Linked DNA regions of Alligator mississippiensis. The protein of the gene in region 2 purifies or fractionates together with the protein of the main gene of each other region. This does not show direct contact. Links are inferred from orthologs where the notes say so. Each region holds a gene or a part of one and is shown on either strand. Other genes may lie near its edges.

Region 1 (7,370 bases), about 140 Mb from region 2:
AGGGATGTTAGCCCCCTGGGTGCCAGAGCCACACTACTATAGCAGCTCCAACAACTGTGGTGATTAAATCCATCACCACTGCTTATGGGTCATCCAGCTCACAAGAAGCCCTATGGTCTACATCTGGCCAAATGAGCTTCACATTCCTGTATCAAAACTTTTTCAGCTCCTGGGATGGAAAGAGCATAGAACATTCAGTACTTCAGAGCTTGGCAGGGGAAGCTTGGCCCCCCATAGGAAAGAAGGACAAATGCAGTTTCAAGAAGGATTAAGGTTTCAAGAGTTTGGTACCTTACCACCGTTTACCAGAGACACCGGGGTAGGAGTGGGGGAAGAAGTGCATGGGGCAGGCCTGAGGGACAGATAGGCCTGCCCCAGAGAGAGGGCTGAGATCAGGTATGACATCAGGTAGTCAGGGCATTAGAGAAGAAATAGAGAAAACAAGAGAAGTCTGGGGTGAAGCCAAGGGTTGGGAGCTTTGGTGATGGTGACTGAAAATGGGCAGTTGCAGAAAGAATGCTGTGAAAAGGGAAACATTGTTGCTTTACTTCACAGAGCATCCTCCAAGCAAACTGTATGCCCCAAACTGTTATATTTAGCAAAATTTATTCAGTCTTTAGACTATTTCTATTCACTTTAGGTGAACCATGCCATGACTCAGCAAAGTTACAGCAAAACGCTTCTCCTTTAGGAAAGATGAAGGAATGCCTAGGTAAGCCCTGAAGGAGCAGCAGGAATTAGCAGACTAGAGCAATGTAACAAACCACTAAATCCTTAAACAAATATGTCTGTTTCAATACCCTTTTACAGGGATCTGTCCTGTAGCTATGTCAGATGACCAGTGCTCACATGACAGCAATCCAGAGATGGTGCTTCCTAAAAGAGAAGGCCAAGGCAGAGAGGAGAACTAAAGTCTGCAGAAGGTTGGTCTTTGCATTAACCAGGAAGCAAACAGAGAAGTTTTAGAGGAGAGAGATTTAGGAAGGGACCATGCAGTCTGGAAAAGAGGGTTGGAATATGTTTTTATGCTGCCATAGTACATAGTTCTTACAAGGCCCCATATTAGAACAATGACACTTCACAACAGCTGTTTCCAAATTGGGTGAAAACTCCTCTGTTGGTAATATTAAACTTACAGAGAAGGAAAAGGAAAAAGCAAGTAACTGGTTTGGAGCATGGATGCAAATAAAGAGAGAGGTTTGTTTAGTAATGATAGCAACTGCATGTTACTTTTCCAAGAAGCACTATCTTAAGTTGGTTTCCTGGGCAGGCTGCTCCATGGAATGATCAACCATGATTTTAAACTGTCTTTTTTAATATCAGGGTTCAGGACTTTGGGAAACAAGTACCAAATATTATCTTCCAACTTTGATTCCTGGGCTAATTTCACAGCATTTTTAACCCTCTTACAGTGGTATTGCTTCTGATTAACCCTTGGCTGAACTTATCCTAGTATCTGTAACACAAAGAGTTTTAAGTCCATTATATTTTTCCCCCTCAGTCCTATTGGCCCTTTAAGCTGGATGTTTGCAATGAGGCATGAAAGGCCAAGGGCAGGCAGATCTCCTTAGTTCAATTCAGAAATTGACAGTGGAAACAAATCAGAGAACAGGCATATTCTACTTTCTTGATGTAACCCAGCTGGGTAAGATCCATTATACCCCAAGGACTTTACTTCAATGGCAACTTAGGTTTCTGACATGTGCTAACAACATTTGCCTAGGTCAGATATTCTACAGATGACAGATCCAGCTACTGGAAGGTCTTGCATGAATAGCCACTCTACTGCACAGGCATGGCAGGATGGGCTGGGGACAGGGAACAAAGAACAGTTCCTCCACCTACAAGCTGTATTACAGTTTCTCCTTTTCTCCCTTCTGAGTTCACTCCCTTTGGAGCTTGACACCCAGGACTTCCCAATTAAAGTCCTTCTCTGACACATCCCAATTCTCCTTAAGGAAAATGACTGGAAGGAGCAATGCATAGGCTAACTTGGTTAAACTCTCTCTGGAAGCTCTGTAGGAAAGGGAAATTAAATCTATTCCAGCAGATGTTTTGTTTGACGAAACAAAACATCTGCTGGACGTTTTATCTCTGCTGTCTGTAAGCAGGGATGGCCTAGGCCCAGTACTTCACCAAGGCAAAACTTAACCTCTCCTTTTTCTCCTGCCCCTCCCCCTCCCCAGCTTTCAAGGTACTTGCCCCAGACTCGGAAGTGATTTATCAGGGAGGCAGTTTCCAGGCGAGATGCTCTGCCAAAGGCCCCTTCAGAGGTTTCTGGGTACAAGCAGCAGAGACCACCCCGAGGGACCACAGAAAGGCAGTTCCACCCCTGAGCCCAGCACCAGGCAGTCAAAGCAGGGAGGCAGGGGAGTGAGGACCCCTCTGGGGAGGTACAAGACACTGACCTCCTGCCGTTGGTATGAGGCATTCAGGAACCCGTGGTAGCGGCTCCGCAGGGCCTGGCCCAGCTCCCACTGCTGCTGCATCCCCATCTGCCAGCAGGCCCAGAATGAGTCACCAGGCAGCCCGGGCTGCTCCGGCCCAAGCCCCCTGCCTCCCCCGGCCCCTAATCCCCCCCGGCCTCCCCCTGCCACCCCCCGGCCCCTAATCCCCCCTTGCCGCCCCGCCCCCAGCAGGCACCTGGGTGAGCTGCCCGAAGCCCTGAGGCCAGGCGGCCTCGCGGTAAGGGTCGCGGGGATAGGCTTTCACCGGGGAGCGGTCGCCGTGCCGGTACACCTGCAACACAGCAGCGCCCGGGCCCGCGGGAGTCAGTGCCGCCGCCACCCGCCCCGGCCCCGGCCCCAGCCCCAGCCCCAGCCCCAGCCCCGCGCACCCCGGCCCGGCGCTCACCAGGGTCACGAAGCGGAGGCTCCGGGCCTGAGCGAGCGGCGGCGGCTCCGGGCCCAGCGCCAGGCCCAGCAGCAGCAGCAGCGGCGGCGCGGAGACCGCCCAGCCCCGCCGCTTCCCGGCCGCCATGGCGCTGCCCAGCTGGCCCGCAGCTCTCGCGGAACTCGGGCGGTGCCGGCCGCGGGGGCTGCCCGGACGGACATTTCGCAACACGCGGGAAGGGGGAGTGCGAGCTGCTGCTAGGAACGGAAGCTTCAGGAAGGGAGGGAATGAGGGGTGGGGGGACTGTGAACGGCTGCGCGCCGGAAGTGGAGGTGAGAAGGGGTCGTCTGGAGAAGGGTGTCCCGGCTCGCGAGCTGTCAATCAGAACCGTGGCTCCTCCGCCCGCAGGGCCAGCTCTCAAAGCGGGCGACTCCTCGCCAATAGCAGCGCGAGAACTGGGGTTGAAGTCCCGCCCCCTCAGCTCGCTCCGAGGGCTGAAGCGGACCTGGTTCCCCAGTGCAGCCTGTCCCTGCCTCGTCCTGTCCGGTTGCTGGAGGGCGGGTACACTGCCGTTGCCACACCTCCCTCCGCCTCCTTCCCTCGGTGACCCTGGAGCACCTTCTCCAAAGGATGGGCACCCAACAGGTCTACAAGCCCTTTATTGTTGGCCCTCCGTGTTGTCTCTGCAGAAGGCCGCTCTCTTTAGCAGGGCCTCTATTAACCCTCCTTTCCTTGGCTTCGGCTCGTTGGGGAAACGGAGGCACACAGCATCATTACAACACGGACACTCTTAAAAACAGAAAATTTACAATGAAAAACATGTCACAAATAGCTGTGGTCTTTTTTTGGGGGGAAAGAGGAGCAGGTGTGTTTGAGCAAGACAATGTTTCCTAGTGTACTAAGAAAAGTCAATACTGACATTTTTAAGCAGCTCTAATACATCAGCATTTGACCTTGTAATGCCTCCTCAATGCCTCATACCAGTGGCAGGAAGTTAGTGTCTTGTACTTTCACAGAAGACTGCTTTTGGGGAGAAAAACTGATTTGACTTACAGAGCATATGCGCAGATATTTTCTGGTTGCGCTCGGAAGTGTGGATGTTGTAATGATAATTGTAATACTTTAATCACAGTCTTACCTATGGGCTTCAAATAAATCAGGCCCTGTTGTGTCAGGGGATTTATATGTTATTAAAGGTGATTTATAAAGGGAAAGTATTGTGATTATCACCTTTTTGTGTCTCATAAAGAAGTCCATATATATATGGCCTTATATACCATATATAAGAAGGCCATATACTTGTGGCCTTATATACATACACACACACACCACAGAATTCTTATGTATTTCAAAATCAAAATCAATCTGCTCTCACCTTGTGAAATTATGAGGCAATTGGCTAGTTATCTCAGGTGCCTGCACATGGACACACACAGCCCAGGAAACAAGCGGGAAGAATTGGAAGTCCTTGCGCAGTCACAGAACTATGATGCGATTGGAATAACAGAGACATTGTGGGATAGTTTACATGACTGGAGCACTGTCATGGATGGGTATAAACTGTTCAGGAAGGGCAGGCAGGGGACAAGAGGAGGAAGAGAAGTTGTACTTTATGTAAAAGAGCTGGATGAGTGTTTAGAGCTCCAGTATGAAACTGGAGATAGGTCTGCTGAAAGTCTCTGGGCTAGATCAGAGGGGAGAACGACGAGGGTGATGTCGTAGTTGGTGTCTGCTATAGACCACCAGGCCAGAAGGATGAGGTGGATGAGGCATTCTTCAAACAGCTAGTGGAAGTTTCCTGATCACAGGCCCTGGGTGGCTTCAATCACCCTGACATCTGCTGGGAGACCAATACAGCAGTGCACAGGCAATCCAGGAAGGTTTTGGAGAGTGTTGGGAACAACTTCCTGGTACAAGTGTTGGAGAAGCAAACTAGAGGCCAGACTATGCTTCACCTGCTTCTCACAAATGGAGACGAATTGGTGGGGAATGTAGTAGTGGATAGCGACTTGGGCAGCAGCATCCAGGAGATGATTGAATTCAGGATCTAGTAGGAAAGGAAGGAAGGAGAGCAGCAGAGTGCACACCTTGGACTTCAGAAAAGCAGACTGACTCACTCAGGCACCTGATGGACAGGATCTCCTGCAAGGCCAGTCTGAGGGGGAAAGGAGCCCAGAAGAGCTGGGGTATGTTAAAGAAACCTTACTGAGGGTGCAGAAATTAACCATCCCCATGTGCAGGAAAGCTAGCAGGTATGGCAGAAGACCAGCTTGGCTTAGCAGAGAACATTTCAGTGAGCTAAAGCACAGAAAGGAAACTTACAGGAAGTAGAAATTTGGACAAACAACTAGAGAGGAGCGTTGGTGATGCATACGGGGTGCACATGGGTGCACCCCCTGACAGAAGCGCTGCTGACTCTGCTGGTGGTGCCTGTGGGCAGTCACTGCTTGCCACCCCTCCCCTTGCCACTGATACCACCGGCCACGTCTGCAGGCGGTCCCTGATTGCTGCTGGCCACCACCAATGCTGCCAGCACCATCTGTGGGTGGTCGCTGACCGCCGGTTGGTGCTTACCACCCTCCCCACCACTGACACTGCCACAGCTGAATTCAGGAGCTTCCTGCTCGCTGCTGCCCCTGCCTCCACCACCTGCGCCAGTCGCCAGGCTCCCCCAGCCTGCAGGGGCACACATTGTTTATGGGGAGGAGTATAAGAATATTGATCGGGCAAGCAGGGATAAAATCAGGAAGGCCAAAGCACAACTGGAGTTGCAGCTAGCAAGGGACATGAAGGGTAACAAGAAGGGTTTCGACATGTTAGCAACAAGAAGAAGACCAGGGAAAGTGTGAGTCCTTTACTAAATGGGGCAGGCAATTGTTATAGGGCACTAAGGTGTGCCTACTCCTTTAAGGGCAGAAACTGCCTAGAGAGAGGGCCCTAGTAGTCAGCCAGGAACCCCACAGATGCAGCTTACTGTAGCAGCAGGCCTAAGGAGGGAATTAGCCTGCACCTGCAGCTGGTCAGCTGACCAGAAGAGGCAGGGCCCTGGGCACATATAAACCCCAGGGCTGGGACTAGAGAGTTAGTTCCCTGCCAGCAGTCAGAGGAGAAGGAGCCTTTAGGGAGGAATTGTATAGTAATGCTGTATTTGGGGCTAATGGGGCTCCAGGAGCTTACCCGGTACCCTTGCCTACAAGGCACTTAGTGCTGGGATAGAAGTTTCCCTCTTTTAAAAGGACAGACCACACCCTAAACTTTTTGTGTTATGTTATAGTCTAGGGGCTTATATTTTTGGTTGCTGTTTTATAGTACTGGAGAATCAGGCTGAAGCTATTGGGGAAGGAGGAGGCCTCATTGGGGGCCCATTACAGTGTGGGGACCCTAGTGCCAATGTGGGTGTAGTATTTGGGGTGTGGGGACCCCAGTGATGACCGGAGGCCAAGCTAAACTAAGGCCTTGGAGGGATAACATATGAATGCCATCTGCAAAGCTTGGGGTGTAGTAGAGGCTCCGTTTGGAGCCATGCATCTAGCCCATAAGGCTGAGGGTGTCTTGAGAGGCATCCATTTGGAGCAGGACCCAAAAGGGGTCTGAAAACCCACAGGGTTCAGTGGGGTCTATCAGGACTGCCCAAGATACAAACTTGAGGGCAGCCTCCCAACTTATTATAGTATCACAAGATGTGACAGGAGAGAGAGGGTGGCTGTTGGGCAGGATTGGCACGGTCAAAAAGCCTTAGGGGTATCATGGCCATCCCTGGGGCCCCCATCCTGTGACAGCAACCTAGTGACAGATGATGAGGAAAAAGCTGAAATATGAGCTAACAGTGTATCCTTGTTGCAAAGGAGGCTAACGGCATACCGGGCTGCATTAGTAGGAGTGTTGCCAAGAGACTGAAAGAAGCAATTCCTCCCTTCTGTTCAGCACTGGGGAGGCCACATCTGGAGTACTGGTTGCGCAAACACTTATGTATTGGCTTAATGTTAAGGACTAGAGTGGTGCTGCTAACGGCAGTAAGAATTCCATGCTTTGTTAAGAATGTGGTGCTTAAATATTTGTAGGCTTGGAGTTGTAGTGTTTAATAACTTGCTATTTCTCAAATAAAACATTATGCAATTTTTTTTACGTTTAGATACACACTTGTAATTTCATGCCAGTTTTTTTTTAAAGTCTTAAAAGCTTTTAATTAGGAAAATTTACATACTGCAAGTTGAGGACTGCCTGTATTATGTCAAATTGCACCATTTTGCACTTACGTTTAACTTGCGTTTATAAATTGATACCCTGTTTCAACTTTCCAACATCATTTTTGACTTTACAATGCTTGATCTAATGAGATGCCATGCTAGCGAACAAGCTTGCTGTGTCACCCGTATCCCTGGAGAACATTTGTCCAAACTTCCTTGAACGCTTTCTTTAAGAAAGCATACAAGACTCCAGAAAAACCTGCAGCCAAGAACCCTTCAAAAAGTCCAGCAGTCACGTCAAAGAAACCCTTTCAAATCAATGAGTGCTATTTACAATATAAATACATTGAT
Region 2 (7,727 bases):
CACTGACCATTACTATCAACACCTTCCTCCAAGGCAGTGGTTCTCAACCTTTGGTACCTTCCATACCACCTGCCAATCAACATGGCAAAAGTGAAACTGGAAGTCCCACCGTGGCACTTCTGGTTTGCCGCCACAAGCTGAGTCCCACTTCTTCCTCATGGACCACGGCCCGGGGAAAGCAGCCTGTGCAGGGCTGTCCTCCCTGTCCCCTGGCACACTGATGCTGGGGAGTGCGGTGCACTGGAACTTCCGGCCCGAACAGGCAAAGATGCCTCCAACCTGCCAAGTAGGGGGATGGGTCAAACTCAAAATTCAGCACCTGCTTACTCCCCTCCCACATCTTGTGTACCCCAGGGGTACACATACCACAGGTTGAGAAACACTGCTCCAAGCCACTCCCTCCTTAAGTCAGGAAAATAACAGCAAGATCCTTGCTCTTCTGGCTGGTTGAACCCAGTGAAGAACAACATGCCCATCATTAATAGAAACAGTCCAAGTGTGGACTATCATTCTTGATAAAGACAGGCCACCCCAGTTCTTGAGAAGCTAGCTACTTATCCTGATGATCTCTTCAAATTCCTATTCCAGGGCAGAATAATTTTAACAAATCACAGAACTCCAATAACATGCAACATCAGCAACCATTGCAGATGCTACACAATGAGAATTCAGAATACAATACAACACAAAGATGCTTGTGAAGTAGGAGAGATCTTTGTTCTCAGACTGCTGGACATCTCTGGAGACTTTGATATAGTACCTAGGGCAGAGGTTCCCAACCCCCGGGCTACAGCCCAATACTGGGCCACAAAGGGTTGCCTGCTGGTCCACAGGAGGGTTGGCTGCTAGTCCAGAAGTTACCGGCATACTGCAGACTGGCAGCTGCTGGTCCACACTATGTCAGTTCCTTTTGGTCTGCAGTATGCTGGTCTGCAGTCTAAAAAGGTTGGGAACCACTGATCTAGGGGGTCTGTGACCTACAGCCTGCAGACCAGATCCAGCCCATGGAGCCACTGGATCCAACTCATGAATCTGGGGGCTTTAGTTTTCAGTGGTGCGTTCTTTGCTTGCGCCATGGCCAGGTGCCAGGGGGAAGCAGAGGCACATGGATCTTAGCGCTGGCTAGCCAGCCTCTGACCCAAGCCGAGTTATTCCCACCCAGCAACACAAAAAAGTTCGCGACTGCTGTAGTAGGGCATTTCATGTCTACATAAAGCTGCAGGACTAGGCCTAGCTTCATACCAATTCCAAGGTGGTAGAGAATATCAGCTCCTCCTCTCCAAACACCCTCACCTTTTGAGTCTTGCATGGATCCCTACTCCTTTTCATGCTCTTCAAAATCTAAACTGAGACAGACAAGACATCAGCTGAGCTGCCACACTAGTGATAGGTGCCCATTTCATTCTCAGCTGATTCAACTATTACAACTACAGCATCAGAATGCCTCTTTTATAGGTAACCTTCTTGTTGTAGTTCTCAACAGCTACAAGAACTCTGCAAAGACTGCCTTTCCTTTAGGAGAAAGGAGGGTAGTATTAAGTGCGCTCCAAAAACCACTCAAAAGTCAAAACACTAAATATTTGTCTTTTCACTTGCCACTTCCAGCTATGAGATGCAATACAAATTTTGCAGAGCAAGCATTCAAAAGCAACCTTAAAAAAAGGTCTGTATCCCCTATGTAACCCCACAGGCTATCTGGTGAGTTTTTTGATCCTTTCAGCAGTAGTCAATAGGTGCCCTTCATGTTATGGGCATGGCTTGTACAATACAATGGTTATCCAATTTATTCTTGTACTTTATCAAAACAGGTTTTACCATACTAGAGTTTCCTTGAGGGAAGCATTTTGCAACACTTAATTGCAACTCATCTTCACATGGAAGAAGCCAACAATTTACAAGACTTAATGTCTCCCAAAGATTTTCTTCATACGATGATGCCCATGACAGCTGGAAGAAAAACACAGCTAATATTAAAGTGCCTGACATGAGGCATTGGCTCCAATTTAAATCAGAAGCCAACATCAAGATGTTCTAATTAGGTCAACGCATGTATAGTGTAGTCCAGGCCAAAAACCAGCTTGCTCAAATCACAGCGAGTCACAGCTTGCTTTGTCACTAATAGGACTAGCTGTTATGTGGAGCAGAAAGTTTGTACTCTTCTGCTCAGATCTCCTTTCCAGATCAAGGTGTGGGAGAGAAGGGAGCATCAGGCTGGCAGCTTCCAACCATGCTTGCAAACAACCTTGGCAGCCATACTTGGGAGAGCGTGCAAACCTCCCTTTCTTGACCTCTCACAGATAGCCCAGCGCACACATGCCCAGCACCTAGCCGTGTTGCCGTCCTGCAGCCGGACGCTGGCATTTCTGCACCGAGAACCTGCCAGCACCTGCAACAGCAAAGCCAGTTTCCTGCGAGCCCGACAGGACCCAAGCAGCCTTGGGGACAGGGCGCTGGAAGGGCTTTCCTCAGCCCAGTGCCCTGCGTTTTCAGGTGACTGCCCCCCTCAAGCTGCCACCTCCTCATAGACCCCCACAGCCGGTGGCCTAGCTGGGCAGGGGTGGGACAGGGAAGCACCACAGCCCCTCTCCCTTCCCGGACAGGCAAAAACAACCGGGAGGAAGAAGCCTCTGCCTTTCCACGCCCGGACTGGCCTAACCCCAGACAGGAAGAGCCCGCGGTGGGAGAAATGCACCTGCCCTGCGCTCTCCCCCGCGCCTCCCTCCCCTTCTGGGGGGCCCAAAGCAGCGGGTCCCGCAGCCCCCACGTGATGCGCAGCTGTGGGAGGCGCCGGCCCGGCCCGGCCCGGCCCTGCCCTGGCCCGGCGGCTGCCCCCGGCCCTGCAAGGCACGGGGGCAGCAAGCAGGGCGCGACCGCGACATCGCAGCAGCTCCCCTCGCGCTTACGTTGTCCAGCTCCTGCCGCTGCCGCCCCGCTCCCGCCGCCGCCATCAGCGCCGCCCGAGGCGCCCCCCCGCTCGGCGCGCGCTCTTGGGCTGCGCCGCCTCCCCGCGCGGGGCGGGCCCGGCCCCGCCCCCCGCTCCCGCACAGCGCCGCCCCGCGCCCGGCCCCCGCTCCTGCAGGGGTGGCGGGTCACGGCCCCGGGAGGCTCGCCGGGGATCGTTGCTGCTTGGGACAACCCCTGAGGGGCGCTCCCAGAGCTGGGCACTGGTGGGAGCGTGCCCGGGCCAGGCCTGCCATGTGCCAGGGCGCAACGTGAGCCTCCAGCTATGCAATTCCCCCGTAATCAGAGTGGGGGCGCTCGGGGCACGTGAGTGAGTGAGTGGGGCAAATGGAATCCAAAGCAGGGACGCCGGGGGCTGGGGGACAGCAAGCCCCCGCAGGCGCCACGGCGCTGTTGGCGATGGGGCGGGGGGTGGCGAGCGCCCCCAGACGCCACCGGCAGCATCGGCAGTGGCCAGCGGTGACCAGGCAGTGGCCGCCCGCAGACGCCGCCAGTGGTGCTGGGGTGGCAAGTGACGATCTGCAGCAGGCAGCCCGGCAATGTTAGCGGCACCTTTTTTGCAGGGGGTGCACCGCCACGCTTAGGGGGTGCGCGTGCACTGTGTGTCGCCAAAGCACGAGAGTGAAGTTCAGAGTGCACCCATGGGGGGCGTGGAGCAGAGCACGCTGGCCAGCTGGCCCTCCAACGAGTCCAAGGAGCCAGCAGGTGCTGTGAAATTGCCCAGACTCAAGGACTTGAGGATTATTCCTATTTTTGTGGGCCCAGATCAAGTGTAGTCCTATGCTTGCCTGGCAAGAGGAAATACCATGATCACTGCGGTGGTTTCCTAGTTGCACCCAGGGAAGACCACTCTGCTGGCATGGGGTAGTCCCCGCATAGGCATAAATGCTGCGTGCATCTGGAGGCTGGTGGGATATGGCAACTGCCCTCGGGGCAGTGTCTGCAGCAGGGGCATGGCGGCGGCAAGTGGGCAGCCGCAGCAGTGTCAGCAGTGGAGGCAGGCCAAGCGGGGAGCTCCTGTAGGTGGCCATGCACCAATCTCAGGGTGCATGTGCACCCGCATGCACCCCCTATGCATCACTAATGCGCATAGGTAATGCATAGTTAACCTGGGCTTATGCCCACTTTATGGAAATGGGAGACTCCTCCCTAGCTTGCTCCTTGGGGCCATACAGCTGGGAGCAAGCAAAACTGGGGGGCATCCAAACCTCCAGGCTTGGGCCTGCAAGTAGGATGCCCACCAAAGGTTTTGGAAACATCTGAAGCCTCAGATGGGGGTGGAGGATGTTTGCCTGTAGTAGGGCCACTTGTGGTTCTGGACTGACTCAGATTTGGAATTTGTTTTGGCTAATTCGACTTGGAATATAGAAAATTTGAATTAAAAAAAAATTCCTGTGTGGAGGAACAAGTGGGGCTGCACCCAAGGCATATCTTTGCTGCAATCCTGTCTCTTTCCAGGGACGTACAAAGTTCTGTTTTCTTGAACACCAGAGCAAGCTGGTGAGCAGAGACTGTTCGCTTCCTTATGACCCCACAGCTCTTTCAGCCAGCGCCCTGTCCCAAACCCCCACTTGCTGGGCTTACCCCGGGGTCACGCAAGGTTTTCTCTCCAAAATCACTCCTGCTCCCAAGGTATAGTGATATTTAAAAGAATACAGCAGGTTTTTCATGAGAGCAACAAGCAGGTCACAACCTGATGCTGGGGACTCTGTGAGACCCAAGGAAGAAATTCTTACATTCAAAAGCTTGCCTCACATTGTCTCAGCTCTATAGTTAGATAAAAGATATCATCCTAAGAAATCCTTGCTTCTTGCATAATTTCTGGACCATTACCACTACAACATTACTCTTAAACTACCAAAGATACTATGGAAATTCACCTTTATTACGTTTTGGAGTTGGATATTGTCCTGATTGCAAATTAAGATTTTGCCCCAGGGGGTTTCTGCTCAGTCTTGTTTTCTGGTCCACATTGTTGTCTGAAAGGTGTTGTTGTCCATTTGGTTAATATGTGATCATTCCCAGCATGGTAGATTAATATCCTACTGTGAAGCATTCAAATCTGATGCCATACGGAGTCCCAAAGGCTTGCCAGAAGGCCTGAAGTGGCTGGTCTCCAATAACTTCTCCAGATAGAGGATTGACCCCCCTTCTTGATAACCAGATTGATCAGACATTTGCAGAGGATGAAGTTCATGCATGGAAGGCTGAACAAGACTTTGAGCAGGATGTAAGCCAGAGGCGGGCAATTATTTCGGGTGGAGGGCCACTTACTGAGTTTTGGCAAGCTGTCAAGGGCCACATTTCCCTCTGCGGTGCAGGGAAGCAGGAACAGCCCCATGGTCCCAGGCCAGAAGCCTCTGCTAGGTAGGGTCTTCTGGTTGGGGGGCTGGGGCTGGGCGGGCCTTGCTGGTGGGTCCTGCCACTGGCTTCCCCTGAGTACTACTGCCCCTAGCTCCTGTCATCTTTGACAGGCAGCCAGGATCAAATAAATATTAATTTTCTAATTTTTTTAGGGCTTCTGCAGGCCAGATAGAATGGCCTGGTGGGCCAGATCTGGCCCCTGGGCTGTATTTTGTTCACCCGTGATGTAAGCTATGACTGGTTTAGGAAAAAAAGCAAGACTGATCTGATACAGTTTGAGCACAACCAGCTTGGCCTTCAGGCTGTATGCTTTCTTCCTTGCTGGGGTCTCCACCTAAATGACCAGATTCTTGGGGTTGCACTGATCCATGCTTTTGAGTACCTTGCTCATGTTGGCCACATTAGCAACAGGGCTCTGGGGACTGGGGCCAGAGAGAAGCAGCTGAATAAAGCTCTTCCTGTTGGGGTAGCTTTTGTTTCTGCCATCCTCATTACAAGCATAAACTTGGAAAGTCTCATTTCAGGCTTTCTGGCCTCAGTTTCTCTGTCATGTTTGTTTTCTCACCTACATATGTGCATGCACACATGCACACACTTCTGAGAACAATACTTAACCAAAGCCCTTCACCCAGAGGTTGTAAATTCCTGAAGAGGTTTTGTTTTGAGTGGATGCATACACTTAACTATTAGAGCTATCTTAAATAAAGGACATAGGTTAAACTTATCAGTCTCATTGACGTTCAACTCAAACCTACAACAGTACTAAGCTGCTGTGAAATCCCACAACAGTGCTGAACTGAAACAGTTCAGTGTTACTCAGTTTTGTCAAAAATGTTCAGCCACGCACGTTCCTTCTCTCTAGAAGACAGCTTTTCCTGGCCACTATTTCTAGGGGTCAGGTACCCCAAGTAGTCAAGAGACTGTATTATCTTGCTGCCAAAGAACTGTAAAGAGGTCTTAGTGATATTGTCAGTCAAGTCCAAGTGTATTAAGGAACTGTAAGATGATATCCAGAGTTATTATCTTTATTCATTAGGTTTGGCTTCTTACCTTTTCAATCCTGCTCTGATAACATCAAAGTAAGCCCTGTGTTTTTACAAAAGAAATGTATAAACAAATGTTGTTGCCCAGTGGTTAGAGCAGCACATTGGAAATTAAGACAGTTGGATACTGTTTGTCACTATGTCACTAATTTACTTGTATTTACTTCACTTGTACTTGATATGTCACTAATTTACTTGTATCATTTTACTCTTAAATCATGTTATTTCTCTGCCTTCGTTTATCCATCCATACAATGGGAATAATGTGTACTTGATAAGCGCTGTTGTGAGATTTATTTAAACGATCTTAGTAAAAGAAAGATGAGAAATAAAGCATAGCTTTATGGACATTAATTATATGTATAGGCAGGTAATATATAAATAAAAAATATAAAAGTTTTATATCACCATAGTATTTTGTCACTATGTATCATCATCTGTTACTAACAAAAACAGTAATTGAGGTACCTTTTCCATTTTTTTGCCAATAGCTTTCCATTATTGATTTCACTTCTACAGGTTTACTGAATCAGAGTGCTGGAGTGGACAGGAAATGGATCCTACTCTGGGTAATTTTCTTGTTTTTTATTATGGACCTTTCTTAGGAAATAGCCCCGAACTCACAGGTCAACAGCCCTGGGTCTAGATTCTGAATTTTGCATAGATGACAACTAAGCTGATACCAGCAAAGAAAGATGAGATCCAATCAGAAAGATGAAGTGATTTATCACAGTTATCCTAAAAATTATAAACAAAAGAGACTGAAAACCTGGTTACACAGGTTTTATATAACTCCAATATTTATTGCAATTACACTTGTATTAACAGAAACACTAGTTCTTGTTGCCTGTTTCAGTAAAAGGTACTTTCTACTGAGTATATTCTGATTTCAAAACGTTAGTATTTACATGCCTGTTTTTTCAATGCTTTCAGATGACAATATACCCATAAACCTTTTATGGTAAATTCTGTCAGTAGCAAATTAAAAAAAAAATACTAAGACAGTAATAGCTAGGTACTTGCCATTTTTTCTATGCCACTTAATGGAATTTTGTGACAAAATGATTTTTTCCCTACATTTTGAATTTGAGTTTAATCTTTAATCTGCTAGTGCACATTGTTGGAATTTTTTCAAATTACATCTTGTATATTTCTTCATTTATGAAATAGAAAATTCATGTTATGTAGGCTATTATGAAATGTTCTATAGGAGATTAGATCAAGCATGATATGAGATTAGTAGATAAAACATGTAACAATCCCTAAAATTCAATCTTCTATACTTAAAAATATCTCTATGTCCAGGCACTGTCTTGGGTTGGCCCTGATTTATTTATAATTTGATGCATAAATTGACAT
Region 3 (7,217 bases), on a different chromosome or scaffold from region 2:
CATATCCGTGTACTGTCTCCCATCAGAAGTTTAGCTATAATTCTTGCTTGCATACTGTCAGGCACATAGCAGCTTCTGTTGCTGGAAGGGAGCACTTGAATTCACTTGCTGAAGATATGATCACTACTTCCTTCTCTCTGTAAAGAAGCAGAACCCTTTGATAGTTCCATTTCTTGCAGCAAGATGCTAGAAGTAGTTAAGAGACTGGTGCAAGAGGGAAAGGTGGTGGTTTAAAAAGTATATGGCACTTTACATAAGTAAGTTGCATTTAAGGTCCTGCCTGAATGAAGTCATGTTCAGTCTTGGACTAAGATTGAAACAAAAGATTCTTTTGTTTCAAATCCATGACCTCCACACATTTAGGGTGGTGGGGGTGGGAAATACAGCTGACTAGTCTCTTGGAACTCGTACTCCAACTTCCCTGTCTACAATCATCTGAAGAAAGCAGAGCAGTTCCTTTGCTGCAGGCCCTTGGTTTAGGCTATTTTCCAAAAAATACAGAGAATGGATAGTGCACATGCATCCACAGGAATATGCAACTTGACAAAACATAAAACCACAAGCACTTTATTTTGAAATCAGCTTAGAGGTACTGGACAAGTGTACTCTTGAAGTTTAGTAGCTCAATATCCACGGATATCCTAGAATACACAGGGTTATCAGACACTGGGAGCCCGGCTACTTCCAGAACAAGAGGAAGGAACAAAGAAACTTCCTTGTACGTTCAAACAAGTAAAACTATTTTTTTTGGGAGGGAACATCTTTCCTGCTCCGCCACCATTTACATGAAGGCATATTACACTAAGGCATGCTGCACTCCATAGGGGCAAGGCTCAAGATACTGGTGACCAGGTCAAGTGCAATGTAGATCTGCATAACTTTATGCAACTAAACTGAAAACCAGAAGCACCTGTAGGAAGGATTTAATTCTAAAACTAGTTTCTGTGTTCAAGCTAAACAGCACTTGTGGTTTGCTCTCCATTTCCACCACACAAGCGAGAGTTACCTTGGGTGTTTTCACAGTCTGGGGAAGGGGGGGGCAGGCATTTTAATTAAAGCAGCTGGGAGAGACACTCTAATTAGAATGCCTGCAGCATCTTACAAAGTGTGGGGATGCTGATACAAAATGGTGATGGGGGAGCTTTAGCTTAAAGGTTGTTGAACGGGGGATGCTGATAGACAAGATGAGGAGGCTGCTGGAGTGTGCCAATTAGCACACTTCAGCAGCCTTGATTAATTGAGTAGTTACCACGCATCCGAGCCACTCCGCACATCGACAGACACTGGTTAAGCCCGAGTCTTTTGGAACCAATGCAGTCCTTCAACCCTAATCCTATTACACCACAACACTCAAATCTACAAATAATGGTTAATCATGGCATCCCTATTAATTCTCTTTATCTTGAACAAAAGTTACTCAGGTCTTTGTTCTTGTCACAAGGTCACTTTTGTCAACTCAATTTACTAATGCAATTGAGAGAAGTGTCAGCAGGAGGGAGGAATGGGCTGGGACACGATCTCAAGGTTATCTAGCTTAACCTTCCTTTCCCCCCTGCCTCTAGAAAACCTTCAACGAAGGTGAGCCCATGATTTGTCTAGCCCATGTGTTGCATTATCTTACTGCTGCAGTGAAGATAGTTTTCCTAAGATCGAGATGGGCGAATTTAGATGCACACATTGCATTGTGTTCCTCCTGGCCACACTTCGTGTTCTCTGTAGCAGCCTTTACTTAAAGAGTACTCTCATGACCCTCCGTAATCTCCTTTCCTCTAAACTAGAAATACGCTTAGTTCTTTCAGCCTTCCTGCCTCCAGCATGCGTCCCCAGCCCCTTTCTTTATCCTCCATGCTTGCCTTTGGACCCTCCCGTTTTTAACTTTTTAAGAAAGTTAGTGGAGGCTTAACTGGATTTAGGCCAGAACAGGTGGCAAGGTTTGGGAAGCGCTAAACAAAGACTCCCTTTCTAAACCCCAAACCACATTTGCTTGTTTTTTTGCAACATCATCATGCTGTTGACTCAACCACAGGCCCCGAAACCTCCTCAGGTCACACCACTGCCAACGATGGCCCGTTCTGTATTGATGCATTAGGGCCCCACTACAAGCTCAAGCGAAACACGGCTGCAGAAACGTTAGCCTTTTCAAGCACTAACTTTGTAGCTGGTTGGCTCTTTTATAGCTGGATAGTCATTTTTAGCATGCAATAACTACTTTGCACATGCAACCAGTCTAAATGTACTGTATGACCCGCTGGTTAATTAGGTGATCGTTGCTTTGCATTGTGGCCCAGTCTACATGTATGGCACGACTGACCCATCTGCGCAACGCAGAGCCCAGGGGGCCTTATGGTTTTTTCCCCCGGGGCTGCAACGACGACACGCGCGGGAACTGCTTTGCGCACAGGGCCAGTCTACACATGACGCGATGGGTGGGGCAGGCGCGCCATGAACGCGACGTGTAGCAGGAGCCTTTGGGTTTTCACGCAGGGGCAAAACAACAATTCTCGTGATTACTTTGCACTTGCAATGGTCTAACTGCACGCGGGGCTGCTTTACATTTATGGCGCGAGCATTCGCAGCGCCATACATGCAACGGGCGCCTGCACACGGGAGCCGGGGACGCGTCTCGGGCCTGGGGCAGAGGGAGCCCGGACAGGTGCCGTGCGCACCGCCCCCCCTCGCTAAGCGGCCGAGTCACGTGCCGCCGCGTCACGGGCCCCTCGCGCGCCCCCGTCCGAGCCCTTCTGACCCCTCGCGGCCCCCATCCGTCCCCCCTCAAGGCCCGGGGCCAGGCCCAGGTCCGCTCTGAGGCGAAGCAGCGGGCAAGCGCAGGCCCGCGCAGGCCCCGCGGAGCCGCGGCCGCTGCCACTCACCGGCGCCGCAGAACAGGAGGAGCAGGAGGGAGTGGCGAGGCAGGCGGAGAGGCCCGCAGCGGGACCAGCGCGGCTCCATGCTCCGGTAGGCGTCGGCGGCGGTGGAATCCCCGAGACGGAGGCAAGCAAACGGGCGGGCGCAGCAAGAGTGCAGAGGCCGGTCATATGAGGGGGCGGGGCGCTGCCCGCGTAGCCAATCGCAGGGGCGGTCCCGCCCGCCGGGGGGTTCCATGGGTCCTAGGCGCTGCCCACCGCGTAGCGGCGCGGGCGGGCGCAGGAATCGGACTCGAGTCCAGGAGCGCTGGCGGGCGGGCGGGCGAGGCTTTCCCGGGGCACTGCCCATAATACCGGGCCGCAGGCCACTGTTAAGGGGGTCCTGTTGGAAGTGGAAGCATTATAACTTTCTGTTAGAAAGTTCCCTACCCCCTTGCTCATAACTAGGGATCCTGGTTTTCTTCGATTAAAAAGAAATCCCCGTGTTTTGAGTAAAAAAAAAAAAAAAGTAACCCCAAATGCACATTTTTCCGTGATTTAAAATTACATACCACTAATAATGTGTGTGTCTGTATGTATATATGTATGTATAGTGGGGTTTCATTTTGATCATGGGAAATGTGGGTTTGGGGCTACTTGTTTAAACCTGAAAATCAGGGATTTTTTTTTATCCGAGAAAACCAGGATCCCTGCTTCATAACCTCACTTGCCTTTAATCGCCTGGCCTGCAGCTTTCCATTCCAATGACCTGCCTTGGGGGTTTGGCTGTTTTGCCAAGGTCCACCCAGGTTGATGCGCGCAACAGGCACGTGCTCAGCACAGACCCGGCTCCCCAAAGCGCCCGTCGTCCTCGCTCAGCGCCCTGACCAGGCTGCCGTGCCGTTCCCGCCGGGCACCTGGCCATTCGCCCGCCCCTCGCAGCTCCTACGCATGATGAGCCTTGGCTCCCGCCTTCCCCGCGCTGGCAGTGTAGGCTCCAGCCCAAAGCTTGTCGAGTTGATGTTGGGCTTCCCCAGGAACTGCTGCTGCAGATCAGCGTGGAGCTGCTGGGCCCTGGATCTGCAAACTGAGAGCCTATTTTTCCTGGGGTCTCCGTGTGCCTGTTGTGCTAGGCCGTGCGGAGAGGAAGCTGCCTGAGTTGAATGGAGTCGGAGCGCGGGGAGAGAAAGGACTGGACGATTTTGAACCATGGAGGTTCCTGAAGGGGATGACAAGCGGCTTGAATGCGATGCAATGAAGGGAGCTGATGGGCAGGTTCAGAAAGGGAGAACAATGGTGATGGTGCTACTTAAAGACCATCCCACGGTTTTGTTTGTTTGGGCCTAAGGGCTGTTGAGTAATGCTCTAGTATTAATAACGACTATCAAATTATATCTGTAATATTAATTGTTATGTTTGCTGATTGCTTGTACTGCTGTACTGTTTTAAAGAGCAGCCCAACAGTTAGCCTGATCCTGCTGGCCCTTCAAGCAGAGGACTCGCTTGAGTTTTCTTGGTGGCCATTTCACACATGCCACGCTGGCAGGATTAGGCATCACTTTCTAGGTCCCAGCTCCCCATTACAGTGCTGGGCCTCTGCAGGCTGGCTTGTGGAAGCATAAGGATGGGTCCTGCTCTCCTGGAAGTGGGTTCGAATACAGCTGAAGTCAACGGAGTTACATTGACGTAATTCAGGGCTGAATTTGGCTCCAGTTTTCAGGGTACTCATCCTTCAGCTACCTTAAATGTTGCAGTGAGTTGTGTAAAGGAGAACCAGTTGATAACTCCATGCTGGCAATTTTCTTCCAGTTCAACACCTCTAGTTAGTCTGGGCCAAAAGAAATAGCACAGTTAGCAAGCAGGTGCGTAGTCTGCGTGACAGGTTTTCCAGTACTGTAGTTCCTGAAGCAGTGATTATAGTCATACCAGTAGTTCCTAAACCAGGGTGCTGTAGCACTCTGGAGTGCCTTGACTTCTTTCAAGAGTGCCATGGGGCCCCATCAAATGTTAACACTGTTAGGTTTACAACCATGATTCACAGGAGAAACCCAGAGACTTCAAATAGAAATCCCTGTTTCTGGACAGAAAAAAACATGCTCTATTTATTTTCCATAGGCGAAAAAAAGGGTGAAAACTAAGAGCTGGCACTTTCCACGTGGTGCCTTGAGTCTATCCAGAGACGCTGCAAGTTTAAACAGGTTGAGAACCACTGTCCTAAAGCCTTGCCTCTCCTCTTAGTTCTATAATGAGCTTTAAAAAATAAAGGGACAAAATAAACCTTCCCTTCTGTACCAAAATCTGTCTAATTCTTTATGGCAAGAATTTTTTTGGTTGCCACCCATTTACACAATTTATCTTGAAAGGTGCTGAACTTCCTCAAGTCCCTGTAAAGGGAATAGGTCTGGTGTACTCAGGAACTTCTAAGGAACCAATCTCTGATATATATATATCTATATTCTCTGTATATCTGGAGATTATAGATATAGCCATAATATAGATATAGATCTATATATATCTATATATTGCTGTGGTACTGGTTCCAGTTGCCTCTAGCATTTCAGAATCAAGCATATGTGGCTGATAGCAATTAATGGTGGAACAGAATGATCTGTGGTGCAATGTATTAAAACAACACATCACCTAGGGAGAGATTTGAACTAGAGGATGAATGAAGTTTAATGAGTTATTCCCCACTGTGAGTGCATGAACTGAACTGAAGGAATGGGGTATTTCTGTGGTGCATTGCCATTTTTACTTCATGCTAGACTGAGTTTGATATTGGTAGTGTTAAGAAAAGGGGGAGTGGAGTGCTTTACAGATCTCTGTGGCAAGATTCCTATCTGGGCTTCAGATCAGCCAGGGGATTAAGCATGCCTAACTTTAAGTACACAAGCAGTCCTGTTGACCTCCAGTGAAATCACATGCTTCAAAAGGTAGGTGTATGGTTAAATCTCTGGATAAATCAGGGCCCCACCCTTTGGTAATTAGAGGTAGGCAGACAAATAGGTCTTGCATTCTGATTATTTTTGCACGCTGAGATTTAAAGATGTTCTGGGTCAGAGTAGGGAATATCGTGATGGATCTGGAGGTTTTGGTGTTTTTGCCCAAACATTCACAATAGCAGGCGCATATTTCCAGTCTTTGGTCTTGTAACATACAAATTGCCAAATACAGAAGGGGAGGAGATACATACCTGACAGGCCCTTGTTATATTTAGTCTGTTTGTTCATATCTGCAGACATTTTCTTTAGTAAAACCTCCTTTTAGGGAATATTATGGCCTGCCTTTCACAGCTCATGCCATGGCAAGAACCAGTGCAATCCTGCTCTAGGAGGCAGTAAAAATTTGGGAGCATGGGACAGGAGTCTACCCCATACAGGGGACACACTTGGGCATTACGGATCCACGTAACAGGAGTGTGTCCCCCACTAGCCCCGTCTCCCCCTACACCGTGATCTTGTTAGCTGGTCTGTGCACTGGAGTAAGGATTTGGACAGCTGCTTAAGGAGAATCGCGGCCTGTCCAGCAGGGCGTCACTGTTAATAGGATCCTGTTGGCTGTGAAAGCATCAGCCAGTTCGGATTAGAACAGGAATGGATCTCGGTAGCTTGTGGCTGCTCTTCCGGAGTCTGTAAAACAATCTCTTGCCATCCCAAATGAGTAACGTGCGGGATGGAGGATTGCTGACAGCAGCGAACTGGTGTTCCTGAAAGGCAGACTTCTGGAAGAAGCGGTGACGGGAAACCAAACAATTACATTCGACTGCTTAGTGAAAGTGCTGAGTCAAGACTCTGGCAGTCACGTGAAGCATTTTCATCATGGAAGAAAAAAAAGCAGAAGTTTCTTCTTTTAACTTAAAGGGCAGGTAGATCAGGTTGCAAAAGAGGCAGAACAAGCAAAACTTCCTGCTAAGGAACTTTGCAACATGATGTTCCCAAACAGCTGAGGAAACCTTTTGTCAGCTGATGAGAGGGGAAGAAGGGTGGGGTGAAGAAGGGAGTATTTCATCACCGGGAGCTAAATCAGTGCAACTTGATTTAATACTTGCTAGACTCTTCCAGCAGCAACAGCAACACCTTATCAGGTTTTCCTGTGGCACTAGCCTCCCTGCATTTATAAGCCATTGTGCTTTTTGCCACCAGTTTCCAAAGAAGCCTTGTCTGGAGACAGCATGTTGTAATGTGGCTAGTACTCAGCCAGTCGGGGTTAAATGGTTCCAGGCTGAGACTTCTGTGCCATGTGCAAATGACACCAAACTATTTACAGAGGCCGTCAGCAGTGAAAGCTTACAAGTTTTGCAAGAGCAACTGACAGCTTAGTAGAGTTTGGGAACTGTGAAATGCAAGGGTGAAAGCGGCATTTTAATTAATTACT
Region 4 (7,204 bases), on a different chromosome or scaffold from region 2:
TTTTGGGGGTAATGAAGATTGAATCCAACAGATCCTATCTTGCTTTTGGACAACAATTTTTTATCACTGTTTATGTAAAACTGCAGTAAAACCTAGTTTTGCCTTTAGAGTCGCATACAGTGTAATTACTGTACAGTGTGCTCTACACTAAAAAGAAAAAAGTTTTCTTAAAGACTTTTAGTCTTGAAGTTGTGAAAGCATAGCTTTTTGTCTTGAGAGATTAAGGATTTTGTGAGTACCTTGTTACATATTGTATATATGTAAGTTGATTTGAATTGAAGAATGAAAGACTTGTAGCTCTGTTAGATGATTGTAACTATAAGGAAGATACTTTTTGTGGTAATATTTACAAGCCTCTGTTTATTTTACAGGAGTTGCGTAATGGTGTGTTTGATTCTAATTAAAAACTACCAAAGGAGTTTTGATCATGGTATAATGAGAATTTAAACTAAGCAATATTTTCTTGAAAAGTACCTTACTAAATTTATGTAATGTAATTTTGTGCATAAATTAAAAGATCACTATCCCTTAAGAATACATTGTTAAACACAGATATCTCTTGAGTTTCTTTGTTAAAGTCCTCCTCCTCTCATCTACTATCATTCATTGTATTGCATTCTTTGAATTATTTTTGTTCCCTTTCCGCTATGGTTAGAAGATAAACCTCACATATCTTTAGTATAATAAATGTATTTAAAAGTTATTTAACATTGTAATTTAATGTAGACTTGTTTTAATATTTGAATCTTCCGTTAATTCAAATAAAACATTTTTGTTGCATATTAAATATGAATTTCTTGGCCACAATGCGACTGTGGCACTTAAATCAATTTTTCAATCTGCAGTTTAGTGTTAGTTTAAAGGCAGGTTTGCTGACTGATTGATCTATTTTCTGTTCATATCACATCCATCCAGTCCATCTGCAAAAATATTAAAAGTAAAAAGAAAGAAAGAAAAAGGTATATATAATAAGGCTAATGAAGCAGAAGATTCTTCAAATTAAAGCAATGCTTCTCAATCTTTTTGGACTTGAGACATGCCTCAGAAAATGCGTATTCTTAGCTTTCACTTGTTTTTTTTTTACTACAGAAAATAAGAGTAAATCCTTCTGTTGCAAAGAACTCAGGAAGACCACAACAGGTCAGAATGTTTTTGACACTATGGATTTCTGTTAGAAATCTCTGGGTTTGTCCTGGGAATCCTGCATACATGTTTGCACACCTAACAGAGATAATACTGTTTGTCAATGTTCAAAGGATCTTGCAACACCACAGCTGAGAATCATTAGACTAAGGAGTTGGCAGTAACAAACAGAAGTCCAGTGATACATGTTAAACAATGGTGCATATCACTACTACTTCTCCTTCCCCTCACTCATTCACTCCAACAAATGAAACTCTTAACTAGTGTTTTGATGAACAAAAACAGTAGTTTACAAAAACTGACAGTATTCTCTAGAAACATTTTCATCAGCCAGTGAATTATGTCTGCCTGAGGAAGCGATGTAATCAACAGGTAATTCTCATCTGTGTAATTAGAAAAACATACCAGTGGACTGGAATTTGTTAGTCAAGTTACTCTCACTGGTACAGTAATAAAGAAATTAAGATTTATGAATTCTACTTTTTGCTAGACTGTTTGCATGCTGAACAAATGAGTAAGCAATTTTTCAGCTACACTTTCAACCATGTCATTGGTGACCAAAACCATTGTCATTTGATCTATGATAGGAGTATCAAACTCTGGATCTGGACCTCCGGGCTCCTCCTGAGCTAGATCCAAGGGGCCAGCAGTAGCTGTGGCATGTCTGGGAGCTCTGGTGTAGTTCTATGGGCAGTGGTGGCAGAGGTCCAGGTGGTAGTAGCAGGGCCCAGCAGCAGGGTGAGCAAGAGCTGTATCTACACAGCCCTTGTTCTACCCCCAGTGCCACTGATGCCTAGTGACCCCAAATTCTGTGGAGGCCACAACCTCTACCCCTGCCCCCCAAATGCTAGTAGCCCAGTGAGCTGGATGGAACATATATATATGTTGCATATATATATTTGCAACCCACTTGTGTTTAAAAACCCTGGTCTATGTAAAATGAGTTACATTTGTAACAGTTGGGACAATTACATCATCTCAATCACTTTGCAATTTGGTACCGGGGAATTTAGTTAATGGATGTCCTGAGCGTCTTAAGACTTAAGAATCTGAGTGGAGCCAAGGCACTGCCCCATCTTAAGAGTCTGTAGCTGCCATCATAGATGCTGATCCATGCCCTAGCATTGACAACACCTGAGAGCTGAAGCCTACCTATACTTAGTTCTAGTACTGACTTCAGTTGCTAGAGCTCAGGCAAAAGGCAGGGTAGATTTGCACCTTTATAGACTCATAGTATAAGCTTTGGTAAGCAGAGGACTTGCAAGCTTCATCAGATGCAGTGAAGGGACTCGCTAGGGCTGAAGCATTGCCTTTCTGAGAGCCACAGCAAAGGTTATGAGCTTTCTAGTTTGCAATCTGTTTCCAGAGCAGGCATGGCAGATAGACTTTACACAGAGTTTCTGAGCATGCCATTGTTTTTTATATGAAAGACCAAGCATGAGAAAATGCAAGTGAAACACAAAATTGCTGAATGCAATACCCTGCAATCTAGCTCAGCCCCTTCCTCAGGGTCTGACTGTAGGCAGGCAGCTAGCTTGTGCCTTGTCTTTGACCTTGGCCAGTCTTGTAGCTGAATGCTGCTGCCTCCCCATGCCTGTCCTTAACCCCTGCTGTGCAAAAGCCAGTCTCTATTAAGTGTCCAAAATTCAGCTCCCTGCAGAAATGTATAGCCAGTTTATAGTCTTATGAGTATTTCCCTTATGTTGACCAGGTAGACCTTTTCCATAATGTTCATGAGTTGATCCACACATTCTTCTCCTTTTCTCACTTATTCCCTACTCCCAGCCACTGGCTTTGGACAGATGCTAAACCCAGTGGTTCTCGGCCTTTTTAGACTCAAGGCCTAGCTCAGAGAAACCCAGCTCCTAGTTTTCCCTTGTTTGTTTGATTTTTGTATGGGGTTTTTTACTATGGAAAAATAAGAATTTGTCTGCTGCAGACAACTCAATCCCAGCAGGACAGAACCTTCTTAATGCAATGGGTTCCTTTGTGAAACCTGTGCAAACCTGAGCCACAGGATGAACCCACATGTAGCAGTGCTAGGATGGGGGAGAAGGGCCGCTCCACAACACCTTTGAATGGATCTCAGCAACCTGGGATGCTGCAGCACCCGGGTCGATCATTGCACTATGCCCTTAGCATCAGGTAACAAGCAACAAGTGGTGACATGGCCCAAAAGAGCCCTACAAGTAAAGTCCAAAATTCTCCATAGCGACTTGATCTAGTCACCTGGGCAGGCACCGCGGAGAACATCACACTGAACACAGGTCATGGCAGGCTGCAGACCCAGGCAGTGGCTCCCCAGCCACTGCCTTGCAAACATCATCAGGGATCCTAGATTTCTCTGATAAAAGTTACCATTTTTTAGATATAAAAAATAACTCAACATCCACATTTTTCCATAATTGAAATTAAATGCCACTAATAAATAAGTATATACATATATATTCCAGTGGTATTTCATTATAATCATGGAAAAATGTGCATGTTGGGTTACTTTTTTATATCCGAAAAATGGGAATTTTTTTTTTTTAATCGGAGAAAACGAGGATCCCGGCTCATTGCGCTAACAAGGTACCATGACTTCCTTCCCTGCTCTGTGACGCCACAAAGTTGCCGAGCGCGTTGCCATGTTTCCCGATGTCGAAGGCCGCGCGCTCCCCCCTCCGCCGGCCGTGACGCACAGGGGGCGGGGCCACCCCGAACCGGAGGGTCTGTCCTCCCCTTCAGTCCCACCTGAGAAGGAGGGAGGGGGAGGCGGGGTTAAAGGCTCCCAAGGGCAGCTCTGATTGGTCGCTCGAACCCTGCGGCGGCCAATGAGAGGCGGCATGTGCGCACGCTCAGGAGCGATGGGAGCGCTGGTGCTACCGGCTTTGGGGTACCTCGCTCGGGGAGCTCTAACCCGTCTTCCCAAGGTTTGCGTTAATCCCTAGTGCGGGGCTACTGTGAGAAACAGCGCCACTCTCGCGCTATTGCCTCCTTAATGGTCCCCCCTTCCAATAAGAAGGGGGCGGGTCACGTGACGATGGCGCGGAGCGGTGACGTCAGCGATCATATGACCGGCCCGGCTTCCAGAGGCGGGGGGTGGGTGGGCTTTCTGTTCTGCTCGACTGCTTCCTGCGCTCTGTTCCCTGCGTCATGGCCCGGCCCCGCGCTCCCGTGCTCCTGGCCGCTGCTGCCGCGCTGCTCGGTAAGAGGCGGGTTCTCCCCACTCCCGGCCGGGGGGGCCTTGCTGGGGGTTCCATGCCCGCGCCCGGGAGCCAATGGGGGTGCGAGGGGAGGGGCCGTTGGGCTGGGGGAGGCTCCCCCCGCGCTCCAGCCGCCCCCCACGAAGGGCCGGTTTTATTAGCCCGTGCCCCGCTGGCCGGATCTGGGGCTGCGAAGCGGGGCGTGCTGAAGGGGAGACCTCGTCCCACAGAGCAGCAGCTCTCAGCCTTTTATGTACCAGGACCCACTTGTAAACATCCGTGGCCAGTCCCGACCCAGTGCCCCTCACCCCCCCCCCACCCCCAGGCAACGGTCCCCAAGCACCGCCTGGCAGGCTGGAGCTCTGCCAGCTGACAAGGGAAAACCCACAGTTTCTTCCCTCCTTTAAAGGGGAATCTGGTCTTAAAGCTTGTTCCCCACCCTTCCGTATATGTATATTTGCAACCCACTTGTGAGTCGTGACCCATGGCTTGAGAAACGCTGCCACAGCGCAATTTTCTCCTTTGGGGGAGAAATAAGCAGCTTTGCTCACTCACTCATTTAGGAGCCAAGCCAAAAACTAGGAGTGTTGCTTGCTTGGAAGGAGGTAAAAGCTGCCTGCGAGGCAGGGAGGGGGGAGCTGCTGTTCCCAGGAGCAGGGCACGGCCAGCTGGTAAAAGAAAGGCTGGGCCAGGATCAGCGTCCATGAGGGAGGGCACCTAGGGGCTAAGACAGGGCAGTGCCTCTGCTCTGCTCAAATTCTGCTGTCTGAAAATGCCCCGGGCACCCACAGCTAAATTCCCTTGTAGCCAATGGCAGAGCGACTGAGACGGTGTAATTGCCCAGACTGTCGCAGACCTACCTCGCTTCTCAAAAATCAGGGGTTTCCAGCGTATGGGCTCAGAGCTGTTCCATCCAGCTCGCCGGGCTACCACGTTTCAGGCCTGGGCTGGAGGGGTGAAACGTGAAGGCCGTTAAAAAGGAGAAAGAGGCCTTCACACCCATGGATTGAAGAGCTTAAAAGGAAGCAGGTAGATTATTAATGAGCAGGGATCCTGGCTTTCTCTGATTTAAAAGAAAAATCCCCAATTTTCAGGTAAAAAAAAGTAACCCCAAATCCACATTTTTCTGTGATTAAAATGAAATGGCATTATCTCTATCTATTTATAGATATCTATAGATTAGTGTTGTTTCATTTTAATCTTGGAGAAATGTGGATTTGGGGTTACTTTTCTTTAATCTGAAGACTGGGGAGTTTTTTTTTTAATCAGAGAAAACCAGGATCCCTGTTAATGAGCCATGAAGTCAGGTGGTTTCCTCAGCGCTGCCTGACTAGAAATGTTGCTGTGGGGCAGTTGGTTTTAAACTTGGGATGGAGCTGAAATCAGAGGGGAGTACAAGTGCACCTCCGAATACCCCTGCTAACAGACTGCTGGGTTTGATTCTCATCTGAGGGTTTTGTGCTGCATCAAATCCAAACCTTGCAGACAGCCCAGCTCCATGCTCTAAGTATCTGTGAATGGTTCAACTGGACTCGCACTATGTACTTGTGACTTATTCAAGTTAACATTTTTCCTTGTCTGTTTTTAGCCTAAATTACTGTTCCCTGGTCTGTTTGGAGGCTAGATAATCACCTAGCCGGGGTCATTTGACCCCAGCATTCTTTCCTGCCCATGGCAGGGGGTCAGACTTGATGATCTGCTCAGGTCCCTTCCGACCCTACGAACTATGAATCGAAACCCAGGAAAATCAGTTTCCAGGCAAACAAAGTCCGTTTTTAGCCTTAGAGGTGCACCCTACACACAGGCCACATCTACACGAGTGGTGGACTGTGCAGTTGTCACTGTGCATTTAGTACTCGCATAATCAAGTACTAAATGACTGCGCAGTAACCAGCATTACTACGCAGTCGCATGCCCACGTTTCTTTTTTTCTGACACTACTGCACAGTAGTATTGCATCACAGTTAGTGCCTCCCCATGCTACTGCACAGTAGCAATGAGCAGCCACAGTTCACCAAATCCCACCCTGAGATTTCAACTAGGAATCCACCAGTGCCTGAGCTGTTCTGACTGGTTGTGGTCTTTCCGAGTTTTTTGCCACAAGAATTGTTGTGTTGGTTTTCTGTAGTCAAAAGTAGAGTGAAAGTGAAGAGTTGGTATTTTATGAGGGGGGGCCTTGAATCTAAAAAGATTGAAAATGCTGCTGTAGCTCTCCAAGCTGGGGCTTCTGTGCAGGTGCTGGTACAACACACACCTGGCTTGAACTGTGCCAGCCTGGTGGCAAACTGTCCTGGAGATGTGGCTGCTGAGTGTTTTGAGGTGTGCCTGGGTGAGCTCAGTGTCTGTTAAGATCTGCTTCATGGGAGGTGTATAGGGCTTGTATCAGCTTCTTTAGGCATCTTTCACTTTTAAAGCCTGCAAGCTGTTATGGTTGCAGAAGACCTACCAGTATGATCTGATTTTGGTGGTGTCATTGGGAGTGTGTAGGTGGCTTCCTCAGCACTAGCAAAGTTACAGTTCTTGTTTTCACTTTATCTTTCTGGAGTCCCATGGTGCCTAGTAGGCAGTAATTTTAACATTAATGAAAGGATTTTTTTCACACAACATGTAATTAAAAGTGTGGAGGTCATTGCCACAAGATTTTATGGGAGCTGATTGTTTAGCCAGATTCAAAAGAGGGATTAGACAAATTCTTGAAGGAAAGGTGCATCACTAGCTATTGAGCTAGTGAGAATTAGGGGCACAGCTTCTGAGTCAGCACTTCCTAGACTAAATGCTGGAGCCTGCGAGTGAGAGGAATGGTAGCAGGGAAAAACCTGGTCATCTCCTATTCACTCTCCCTTTCAGCATCTGCTCTCTGCCACCATGTGACA

Evidence for each region.
Region 1: the proteins of TMEM192 (region 2) and ACP2 purify together in Homo sapiens (affinity purification with mass spectrometry; 3 studies listed by BioGRID and IntAct, with this or other methods). This does not show direct contact. The link is inferred for Alligator mississippiensis from reciprocal best matches to the Homo sapiens genes TMEM192 and ACP2.
Region 3: the proteins of TMEM192 (region 2) and LAMP2 purify together in Homo sapiens (affinity purification with western blotting; 5 studies listed by BioGRID and IntAct, with this or other methods). This does not show direct contact. The link is inferred for Alligator mississippiensis from reciprocal best matches to the Homo sapiens genes TMEM192 and LAMP2.
Region 4: the proteins of TMEM192 (region 2) and LAMP1 purify together in Homo sapiens (affinity purification with mass spectrometry; 3 studies listed by BioGRID and IntAct, with this or other methods). This does not show direct contact. The link is inferred for Alligator mississippiensis from reciprocal best matches to the Homo sapiens genes TMEM192 and LAMP1.

What each region holds. Positions count from the first base shown.
Region 1 is NC_081825.1:227,906,026-227,913,395, forward strand, and holds the start of ACP2 (lysosomal acid phosphatase), read right to left. Parts: upstream 3,004-7,370; 5' UTR 2,980-3,003; coding exon 2,854-2,979; intron 2,740-2,853; coding exon 2,644-2,739; intron 2,496-2,643; coding exon 2,409-2,495; intron 1-2,408.
Region 2 is NC_081825.1:86,738,353-86,746,079, reverse strand, and holds the start of TMEM192 (transmembrane protein 192), read right to left. Parts: upstream 3,003-7,727; 5' UTR 2,949-3,002; coding exon 2,904-2,948; intron 1-2,903.
Region 3 is NC_081831.1:72,415,686-72,422,902, reverse strand, and holds the start of LAMP2 (lysosome-associated membrane glycoprotein 2), read right to left. Parts: upstream 3,022-7,217; 5' UTR 2,950-3,021; coding exon 2,871-2,949; intron 1-2,870. UniProt on the Homo sapiens protein: Lysosomal membrane glycoprotein which plays an important role in lysosome biogenesis, lysosomal pH regulation and autophagy.
Region 4 is NC_081824.1:351,784,401-351,791,604, reverse strand, and holds the start of LAMP1 (lysosome-associated membrane glycoprotein 1), read left to right. Parts: upstream 1-4,202; 5' UTR 4,203-4,281; coding exon 4,282-4,333; intron 4,334-7,204. UniProt on the Homo sapiens protein: Lysosomal membrane glycoprotein which plays an important role in lysosome biogenesis, lysosomal pH regulation, autophagy and cholesterol homeostasis.